2 linked regions of the Oryctolagus cuniculus genome follow. The protein of the gene in region 1 interacts with the protein of each later gene in a pairwise test. Links are inferred from orthologs where the notes say so. Each region holds a gene or a part of one and is shown on either strand. Other genes may lie near its edges.

Region 1 (5,820 bases):
TTCTATCTGCTGGTTCACTCCCCTCATGGCTGAGCCAGTCCAGTCAGGAGCCTGGCACTCCATCTGCATCTGGAATGTGGGTGCAGGGCCCAAGCACTCAGGCCATCATCTGCTGCCTTTCCAGGAGCATTAGTAAGGAGCTGGGTCAAAGTCGAGTAGCCAGGACTCAAACCTGCCCGCAGAGCAGGAGGCAGCTTAACCCGCTGTACCACAATGGCAGTCCTGCTGGTATTTATTTTCAAAAGTGGGCATCAATCAGAGATGTCCTTCATGAAGGAAAATTCCAGTGGGCAGCGGGGCTGGAGAATAAAAAACCGAGAGTGCAGGGAGAAGAGAAGTGCTGGGGATTGCAGAAGTCAGGAGCGACCCCCCGAGGAGGAGGAACCCGTGATGGCTGCCTGAGCTTTGAAGAAACTCTTCTCGATCTTTTTTTCCCCAGGTTCCCACTGCCATTTGTATGCATTTCTAATAGAGCAGAGTGCCAAATAGAACATGGATTTTGTGGGGTCAGTCCTGGGTTCTTCCTAGCTGTGTCTATGTGAGTCTCAGCTTCCTTATCTGTGAACTGGGGATAATTCTTACTCATACTTCAGATGGCTGTGTTGAGGACTAAGTGGAAGTCTAGGATTGTGTCTGGCACAGGGTAGCTTCTCAGTAAATGTCTTCCTCTTAGGTCAGGGGAACGCTGCCCTATCCCCTGCCGGGAGCACACGGGGTGCCGTGCTTGGGTGGCCCTGAAAGCTAGTTGTTCAGGTGTGGTGTAGGTGCTGTATTCTGGGATAAGCAGGACAATCACAGAGGTTGCTCTGTGTCTAAGTTCTCTGCTGGACCTGCCATTTTCCTAACACTTATTGAAGGGGTAGCTTGCACAATCGTGAGAGTGGGAACTGGAGCTCCGAGTGGAGACAGCAGTCTCCAGGTCCAGCGAGAAATGAGCTTGGCTGCCCAGTTTGGTGTGCAGCCTCTGGAGTCAAATCCATGTGGATTTAAATCCTCAAACTTGTACAACTGTATGACACCGAGGGAAACTATTTCACCTCTCAGCTCTTATGAAATAGGAATAGTATTATTTATAGGACTGTTAGTACTAAATGAGTTACTACTTAGTAACACTGACAGTGTAGTAAGCACTGTCAAATAAGGATATAAATATAATGCTGGTGATAACCTTTCAGGCTTCGTATGCAGATTAAATGAGGTAATAGATCAAGTCAGCCAAGTGTCTATAAAAGCCATTTTGGGGGCTACCGTTGTAGCACAGCGGGTAAAGCTGAGGCCTGCAACAGCCAGCATCCCATATGGGAGCCAGCCAGTTCGCGTCCCCGCTGCTCCACTTCTGACCCAGTTCCCCTACAATGGCCTGGGTAAAGCAGCAGAAGATGGCCCAAGTGTTTGGACCCCTGGCACTCCCGTATTAGACCTGGAAGAAGCTCCTGGCTTTGGCCTAACCCAGCCCTGGCAGTTGCAGCCGTCTAGGGAGGGACCCAACAGACGGAAGGTCTCTTCCTCTAACTCTGACTTTCAAATGAATAAACCTTAAAATCATTCTACTAATTCCCACGATATTTAAAAAATAAACAGTAGCCATTTTCATGTCTGCAGACCCAAAGGTGAGGCTGTTTAGAAAAAGGGTGGAGCAACCTGTGGGTTGGCGCTCTGTCACAGCCAAGGAGAGGATGTGCAGGGGACCATCTGGGACCCGATACGATCAGTACAAAGACGTCCAGGCGCCACCGCAGCGGCATAGGCTCCGACAAATCGTTCAGAACTGGGCTTACGAATCAACAGTTCTAATCAAGTCCGCGCCTCGCCGGCAGCCTCAGTATCTCGGGCAAGAGATGCGGGGGCAATCCGAGGCCGAGGTGGCTTCCCGAGTACCCAGCGTCGCGCACAGCTTGCAGCCACACAGCACACACCGCCAGGAGGAGCCTCCGCAGCTTCGCGGTTCCGGGTTCGCGCCCCGTCGCGACACGTGACTCACGTCCAGCACCACGTGACCCCCACAGCGTCCCCAGCGCCGCCCCCGCGCTCTCGAGCCGCGCGCTGCTTCCGGTAGGGGCGGAAAGCGGAAGTGTGGGAGGGTCTGCGGGGCGGGCCTGGAGAGGTCCCGGGGAGGATGGAGTAGTGCGCGGGGCTGGGCGGCTGCCGGCAGCGCCATGGAGACGGTGCAGCTGAGGAACCCGCCGCGCCGGTGAGGGGCCAGGGGCCAGGCGGGGGGGCATGGCGACCGAGTGAGGAAAAGGCGGGAACTGGCTGAGGGGAGACCCCTGTGTGGGCGGGAAAGGACCAGCGGGCGAGGTGACCCGGCTGATGGGGCACCTGCTGGGGTGGGAGGGGGACGTCTGGCGGGGGGGGGGGTCCGACTCAGGGAGCGCCCACTGGAGCGGGTAAACGGGGGCTGGCCGGGGAGGGGGGAGCACTCGCTGTGCGGGACTTTGCCGAGGAACGCGGCGCAAGTTAGGGGGAGCCCCGGCTGAGGCCAGGGACCACTCGGGACAGCTGTCCTAGACGGGGCTCGCGGGGGTGACGGGGAATGCCCGCCTGGGAGCAGGAGGGCCTCCGAGGGGTCTGGCTGAAAGGCTCGATCGAGAGGGAGCAGGGAGGAAGCCCGGGCCCTGAGTCCCGCCGGAGGGGCGCAGTCCGGGGGCGAGCCATTGGGCGGAAAGCTTTGCGAGTGTGGCCGGGGAGGGGTCGTGGCGGCAGCGCCTGGGGGCTCCCGGTGGTGCCCTCGCCCTGGCGGGATGCTAGCCAAAGTGCCCTCTTAGTTTTTTTCCCGCATCCTTTGAAGCCCTTCGAAATCCAGCGTTAGCATGTCGGTAAGGAAGTAAGAGGATATTTTCCAGGGTGGGCAGACTGAGAGCCAGAGGAGTTGAGACGCATGTGTGTTCGCTGTTTTTGCTCTGAGTCACTGGAAGCTTCTGTGGTTTTACCTGGGATGGCTTTAGGTCAAGAGCGGGGAGGTGGCTGGCGCTGGGTGCACGTGTAGGGCTGATTTCCCTTGTGGATACCCGGGTCTTAGGCCGTCCCGCCCCATCTGGCGAGAAGCGGGGGGCAGAGACCCAGAGTCTGCTTCTCTGGGGTGCCCGTGGCGCTCGCTTGTTTCACCGAGACATCTGACTTCCTGTAGCAGAATGAGCGCTAAAGTAGGAAGTGCTCCGTGTGTGAGAGTGTGGGGCAACCGAGAGGTGAAGAAGGGAAGGGACGGACAGCCCGGGCAGCGCCCTTGGGGGCCCGCATCTAGAAGGCAAGTAGGCGGCTCGGAGGGGCTGGTGATCCCCTGAGTGTCCTATGCTGAGATTGTAATAGCAGTGCCTAGTATTGCGCCCAGCGCTCAGGGGGTGCCCGGCGCCGTTTTAAGTGCTTTCCGTTTGATTCTGATCATTTTTGAACATGAAAATGGTAATTTCATGTGGTTCAGTTTCTTAGTGACAGGTTGGATCTTCACAGTCCCATGAGGCAGGTTTTCCTACATGCCTGTTTTACAGATAATACAACGGAGGCATAGAGATGCTGGTGATTTGCCCGAGGCCCCTTATCGTAAGAGGCAGAGCTGGGATCCTGGTATCCAGGCGGTTTGGTCCAAAGTCTGCTGTTAAAGTGCCTCACTGGAAGCACCCCTGTGTCACAGGTCCTTGTGTGTGTTAACAGGTGCTCACTCCAGCACCATAGTGAGCCACTTACAAATGTGCACTACTTACGCTCCTTTCTGAAATACATTCGTTCCTTCTCCTTGGATTCCTTCTCTGAGACCTTTGTTTAATTGAAAAGAGGATTAGGGATCTTGAGTTTTGCTTCTCCCTGTGCCTTTGATTATATAATCTTCGGGCAGAGGAGTAAATCTTTTTGCTTTTTGACATGCTTATTCTCTCTCTCTCTCTCTGTTTTTTTTTTTTTTTTTTTTTTTTTTTTTTTTTTTTTTTTGACAGGCAGAGTGGACAGTGAGAGAGAGAGACAGAGAGAAAGGTCTTCTTTTGCCCTTGGTTCACCTTCCAATGGCTGCCGTGGCCGGCGCATCACGCCGATCCGAAGCCAGGAGCCAGGTGCTTCTCCTGGTCTCCCATGGGTGCAGGGCCCAAGCACTTGGGCCATCCTCCACTGCACTCCCTGGCCACAGCAGAGAGCTGGCCTGGAAAAGGGGCAACCGGGACAGAATCCGACGCCCCGACCGGGACTAGAACTTGGTGTGCTGGTGCCGCAAGGTGGAGGATTAGCCTGTTGAGCCTCGCGCCGGCCAACATGCTTATTCTTGTACCTTTTGGATTTAAAAAATGTACTAAAAGTGCAAGAAGAGAGCATTGCAGGACTGAGTTCTTGAATGACTGTGTCTCCTGCTCATGACTTGGACTTCCTAATTTGCAGCAGGTTAATAGATTTTTGTTTAGTTTTTTAGGACTGCCTTTTATGAGGTATCATGGACGAGCTGTTTTAAGCAGCAGAAAGTTATTTTCTCATAGTTCTGGAGGCTAGAACTCAGAAGTCAAGGTTTTGGCAAGATGGTTTCTTTTTTTTTTTTTTTAAATTAATTTATTTTATTTGAAAGAGTTACAGGGAGAGAGAGAGAGATATCTTGATCAGTTGTCTATCTGCTGGTTCACTCCCCAGATGGCTGCAACAGCCAGGGTAAGACCAGGTTGAAGCCAGGAGCCAGGAGCTCAATCCAGGTCTCCCACATGGGTGTTCGGGGCCCATATACTTGTATCACCCTCTGCTGCTTTTCCCTGGCCATTAGCAGGGAGCTGAATCGGAAGTGGAATAGCAGGGACGTGGACCAGAGCCCACATGGGATGCTGGTGTCACAGGTGGCCTTAGTGCCAGCCTTGGGTGGTTTCTTTTGAGGTCTCTGTCTTTGACTTGCAGATGACTGTCTCCTCCCTGTGTCTTCACGTGGTCTTCCCTCTGCTGCTGTGATCTGGTCTTGTCTTACAAGGAAACGGATTATACAAGGATACTTCAGACATCTTGTGGGAAGAACTGCTTGGGGCTCAATGTTTTTGCACCACAGTAGACTTATCTTTTAGTTTCATTATTCATGAATTTGTTGAAGTACCCTCATGTTGGATTAGGGCCTGCCCATTTAACCTCATTTAACCATAATGGTATCTTTAAAAGCCCTTTCTCTATACATAGTCACATTCTGAAGTACTGGGAGTTAGGACTTAAAACATGATTTGGGATGTAGGGGAACACAGTTTCAGTTTTGTTAATTTTATTTCATCAATTTGTCTTTATTTCTTTTATAACCCATATCAGATTCTGTGTGGAAGGAAGGATGGACATACATAAATAAATTGAATCTTAGGGCAGTTGCGAGGTGGAAGAAGGGATTTGAGAATTAACCACGCCTGAGTGACTACTTGATAAATGCCATCATATAAGTGTCTTTACAGAGATTCGGATGGCGTGTGTTTCTAACAACCTGGATACAGGAAATATACTTTGTGTTCATGAGTTTGACATTTCTGTGTGGCTAAGTGGATGATGATAGATTTGTATCTTACCTAGGCACTGATGATTTGTAAAAAGTGTATTGCCATTAGGTAATGGTGTGGGGGAAGGTGTAGTGTGCATTCCTGGGATGCTGGCTGTCGTCATGGCCATCTGAGTTGGGAGAGAAGCATCTCTCAGGTCTGGTCTGTGAATGCTGTATTGGCCAGGCCTGTTCAATTAAGAACAAGCCCTGAAACTGCATAGGATGTTGGGAAGTCGCATCTGAGAGAGCAGCAGCAGCAAGTCAGTTTGTTTTGGTAACAGTGGTTGTTCTGTGAAGACTCATGTTATACAATGTCATTAAGAGTCATTTCTCAAAAGATTTTCCATAAA
Region 2 (5,082 bases), on another chromosome or scaffold:
AGTGGAAATGGGGAAGAATGCTTGAATACTGTCCTGAAACTCACATGAGTGTAGTAATAGCTGTTGGATTCTATTATGCTGATTCTTACACAGAACATTCATCTTACAGTGGCTTATTTAGTCCTGAGAAAACCATCTGTGGCATGAGTGTCTTGGTCCACTCTTACTAATCAGTATCCTGAGAATTAGAGAAGTGAAGCAGTTTTGCCCATATTCATACAAGTTGTAAGTGACTACATTGAGGCTAAAACCCAGACATATCTGACTTCAAGGTCTCAGTTCCTTCCAGCCCCCATATCATGCTATCAAAAAATATTTCCCTTTGAATTTAGTTATGAAATAAAAGTTGAAGATAAAATACATTGCTATTTGCACATTGTCTTTAAATTGTTAAGCATGGTGCATTCTAACCCTACTATAATCCGGTCTAATAATTAGTAACCTTTTCTGATAAATAAGCAAAACTTATATGTTTGGAGGCATACCCCTCCTGGTTTTGTCTCTGAGTCTGAAATAGATTATTTTGGCCTTCAGAATTCAACCTTTAATCTTCCCCTGTAATGCTCCCCTTTCTATCTGGCAGTTACTGCCTTCCTCACAGCACATTCAGGCTATTAGAATTAAGTGAAGCATGATGCCGTTTGTTTTGTTTTATCTCTCTGATTTAAAATAGGTTCTGAGGTATGCATTTGACGGTTGAGATGTCACTGGGAATGCCTGAGTCCCATAGCAGAGTACTGGGTTCAAGCTCCCTGCTAATACACACCATGGAAAGCAGCAAGTGATGGCAAGTCTTGGGACCCTGCCACCCAATGGGAGACCCAGTTGAGTTCCCTACTCTAGGCTTCAGCATGGCCCAGCCCCTGCTGTTGTGAGCATTATGGGAGTGGACCAGCAGAGGGGAAATTGTTTTGCCTCTCTCTGCCTTTCAAATAAATAGAATAAACAAATGGAAATTAGCATAAAATAGATTCTAATCAATCCTTACTACCACAAGTTCTCTTGTGGGGAGGGCGGTTCGCCTTACAGGTGGTATAAGACCCTTGAAATCATTTGATCTGGCCCTGCCAAGGCAGCCACAGGAGGGACTTGAAATTGTGTAAATCTACAGCAAGCTAATTTTAAATTGAAAATTTTGTATGGCCCACAAATGATTTTTGTCAATATCCAAATGGCTCTGGGCAGAAAAAAGATTCCCCACCCCTGTAAGTTGATAAAATAAAGAGGAAATACTGTGAATACTTCCAGCACAGAAACCACTCCCACTGTACTACATATCCTAACCCTTGTTTTCATCCTACAAGAGGAAGAAAGTATCCTTTCTCATTTAGAATTTACACCTAATTCTTAATTGTTACAAAAATATGGTATTCTAGTTTTAAGCCTGTTTGTAAGGTTACAACTTAGCTCCAACTTTTTTTATAGTCTCACTGAAGCTGTTTTTGAAAAGATTAAATACTAGCCAGAAGAAATATGTTAAAAATATGCAAATATTTTGTGTAGATTTATGTAACATACCAATTTCCAAAGGAAGGTGGATTTTATTTCCCTAGAGAATGATAAAGCTAGAGCTTAGAGGGCCGGCACTGTGTGCCATAGCAGGTCAAGCCACCGACTGCAGTGCCTGGCATCCTATAGGCACCAGTTCATGTCCCCGGTGGTCCACTTCTAGTCCAGTTCCTGCTAGTGTGCCTGGGAAAGCAGCGGAGGATGGGCAAGTGCTTGGGCCCCTGCACCCATGTGGGAGACCTGAAAGAAGCTCCTGGCTCCTGGCTCCAGCCTGGCCCATATGTCATGAGCATATGCGGAGTGAACTAGCAGATGGAAGGTGTCTCTGTTCTCTCTGTCTCCCTCTCTCACTGTAACTCTTTCAGATAAATAAAGAAGGCTAGACCTTTGCCATAGGAAAGTATCTTTTAGGTTGTGGAAGGAAGACATTTTCGGCAATAGGCACATTAAAAGATGCTTAGCTATTGTTTGTTCTCTATAATTTTCTGCTTAGATCCAGGGCCTTTTATCCTAATGAATGTCATTCTTCTTAGTGTCCCTCGGTATGATCAGCCTCCTCCCGTGACATACCAGCCACAGCAAACTGAAAGAAATCAGTCCCTTCTGGTACCTGCAAATCCATATCACACTGCAGAAATTCCTGACTGGCTACAGGTTTATGCTCGAGCACCTGTGAAGTAAGTGAATTTACAGCACACAGCTTTTAAGGGGTGAATAGAATACTGAGTAGAATCTTTGGACTGCTTGATCCAAACAGTGCCATGTTTTTCTTTAATTGAGCATCTAAGTGATATATAAGGATATCAGAGCTTATAAAGTGTAAAAGTTACTGATAAATATTCTATAAGCTTATGTGCATACCTCTGCTATTAGAGATACATTAAGAAGTTTAGGTTCATGGGGCTGGCACTGTGGCACAGTGGGTTAACTCCCTGGCCTGAAGCATGGCATCCCATGTGGGCACCGGTTCAAGACCCGGCTGCTCCACTTCCAATCCCCGCTGCTGCACTTCCAATCCACTCTCTGCTATAGCCTGGGAAAGCAGTAGAAGATGGCCCAAGTCTTTGGGCCCCTCCATGTACCCACATGGAGACCCAGAAGAAGCTCCTGGCTCCTGACTTCGGATTGGTGCAGCTCCGGCCGTTGCAGCCAACTGGGTAGTGAACCAGCAGACGGAAGACCTCTCTCTCTGCCTCTCCTCTCTTCTCTGTAACTCCGACTTTCAAATAAATAAATAAATCTTTTTAAAAAGAAAAAAAAGTTTAGGTTTTCAAAGGAGAGTAACATAATTAAAGGTAAGAGAAGTTGTGATAAAAGTGAGGGCCCAGGTAAGTCCTAAATAACGTGAGTGAGACAAAGCAGGATACAAGAATGTTGAAGAAGTAGTACAGAGCTGTGAGCTCTGGGATTAGGTGATCTGAGTTCACTTAGATTTTTTAACTTTGTAACCTTGGGCAGGGTGTTTGATGTAGTTTCATATTCTGTAAATTGGGGATAATTATAGTATCTGATCTTGAGATTATTAAAAATTTACTAAGAGGGGCTGGTACTGTGCACAGTGGGTTAAAGCTGCAGCCTGCAGTGCCAGCATCCCATAAGGGTGCTGGTTTGAGTCCTGGCTGCTCCACTTCCCATCCAGCTCCCTGCCAATGGCCTGGGAAAGCTGTGGAAGATGGCCCAAGTACTTGGACTACTGCACCTACATGGGAGACCCAGAAGAAGCTCCTGGCTCCTGGATTCAGTCTGGCCCAGCCCCAGCCCTTGGTGTCATTTTGGAGTGAACCAGCAGATGGAAGATACCTCTCTCTCTGTCTCTCCTCTCTCTCTAACTGTGCCTTTTAAATAAATAAATCTTTAAAAAAACATTTAATAAGAAAATGCAGGAGGTGATAGCTTAGGTAGTTGTGTCCCTGCCATCCACACAGGAAACCCAGAGCTCCCAGCTCCCAGCTCCCAGCTCCCAGCTCCCAGCTCTGGTCTGGGCCAGCCCTGGCTATTGTGGAGTGAACCAGCGGATAATCTGACTTTCATTCTCTGCCTTTCCAAAATAAGGAAAACAGTTTTTGATGAGCTTGGGAAATTCATAGCCATCTTTAAAGATTGAACTTGTGCACTTTCCTTTGAGCACAACTTTCCTTGCTCCACTCCTAATATTAAGAAGCCATTACTGTCCGGTGCCGCGGCTCAATAGGTTAATCCTCTGCCTGAGGCGCCGGCACCCCGGGTTCTAGTCCCACTTGGGGTGCCGGATTCTGTCCCGGTTGCTCCTCTTCCAGGCCAGCTCTCTGCTGTGGCCAGGGAGTGCAGTGGAGGATTGCCCAGGTCCTTGGGCCCTGCACCTGCATGGGAGACCAGGAGGAAGCACTTGGCTCCTGGCTTTGGATCAGCACAGCACGCTGGCTGTAGCAGCCACTTGGGGGGTGAACCAACAGAAAAAGGAAGACTTTTCTCTCTGTCTCTCTCTCTCACTGTCTAACTCTGCCTGTCAAAAAAATAAATAAATAAAATAAAGGAAGCCATTACTAAGGGTTTATGCAAGATAGCCAGTGTGCCGTGTGCTTTACAGTATACTACCTCTTTTAAGTCTTATGACATTAAGTAGGTAAGATTATTATCTGCCATGTTTCAATGGAGGAAAAACATTTAGATCAAAGTTCGTAATTTGCTCAGGGTCAGTCACTAGGAGTAGATCAAGGAGCCAGAATCCACACTCAGGCAGTTTCCTTCCAGAGTGATCTTCACCTTTGTGGTGTTTGTGTGTCATTAATAATAACAATCATTACTGAGCTCTTTAAGTACATTTTGAAATGTTCTTTAGATGCATTTTCTTACTGAATTCTAAATAACCAGGAACTATTACTATCCCCAGACAGCATCATAAGTGCTACACCAAACACCCACCCCTCATTGAGGATACTTAATAGAAATCTATGTGGTAGGTTGGCATTGTTCTTAGAATTATGACTAAGTGAAGTGTTTGCCTTCAGGGCTTTCGTTGGGGAAAACAGAAGTGGGTGCTGCTCAGATTAGTAAGGCAGTTTGATAATATTAGCAGTGGTATATACAAAGTGCTGTGATCACAGAAAAGCACGTGTTTGAAAGTAAATTATTCTTCATTGCTTCCTGTGTCCCTCCTTATCCTATACTTTTAGGTATGTAATCTTGTGTGAAGTTCCCCAAATCATATCCAAGTGAAGAAATAGAGGCTTTATCCATACTAAGTTTACACAGCTGTTAAGTTGTAGATTATGAATCTTGTTCTTTAACTTCAAAGACTATGTTCTTTTGTCATGACTGCTTTCTGATTTAATAATCATTTACTGAACAGTTACTGCATTCTTAGCTCTTTGCTATACATGTGTTATACATAATAATTGCATGTACTTTAACAGTTATTTAAGGTAATATTCGTTTACTCTTTTTTTGTAGTCTTACTATTTATTTCCTTTTACATAATTCTGAAACTAAAATTATTAACATAAAACAGCCCAAAGAATAATATGAGGTGATTGGATATTGAATTTAAAATAAATTAAATCATAATGAAACAAAAATTAAAATCTTTCATGTACT

Evidence for each region. The genes of interacting proteins can lie anywhere in the genome.
Region 2: the proteins of STK4 (region 1) and SAV1 interact in binary tests that used the Homo sapiens proteins (3 or more experiments, as listed by UniProt). The link is inferred for Oryctolagus cuniculus from reciprocal best matches to the Homo sapiens genes STK4 and SAV1.

Annotation. Positions count from the first base shown.
Region 1 is NC_091442.1:14,198,514-14,204,333, reverse strand, and holds the start of STK4 (serine/threonine-protein kinase 4), read left to right. Parts: upstream 1-2,052; 5' UTR 2,053-2,156; coding exon 2,157-2,191; intron 2,192-5,820. UniProt on the Homo sapiens protein: Stress-activated, pro-apoptotic kinase which, following caspase-cleavage, enters the nucleus and induces chromatin condensation followed by internucleosomal DNA fragmentation.
Region 2 is NC_091443.1:25,525,296-25,530,377, forward strand, and holds part of SAV1 (protein salvador homolog 1), read left to right. Parts: intron 1-2,042; coding exon 2,043-2,186; intron 2,187-5,082. UniProt on the Homo sapiens protein: Regulator of STK3/MST2 and STK4/MST1 in the Hippo signaling pathway which plays a pivotal role in organ size control and tumor suppression by restricting proliferation and promoting apoptosis.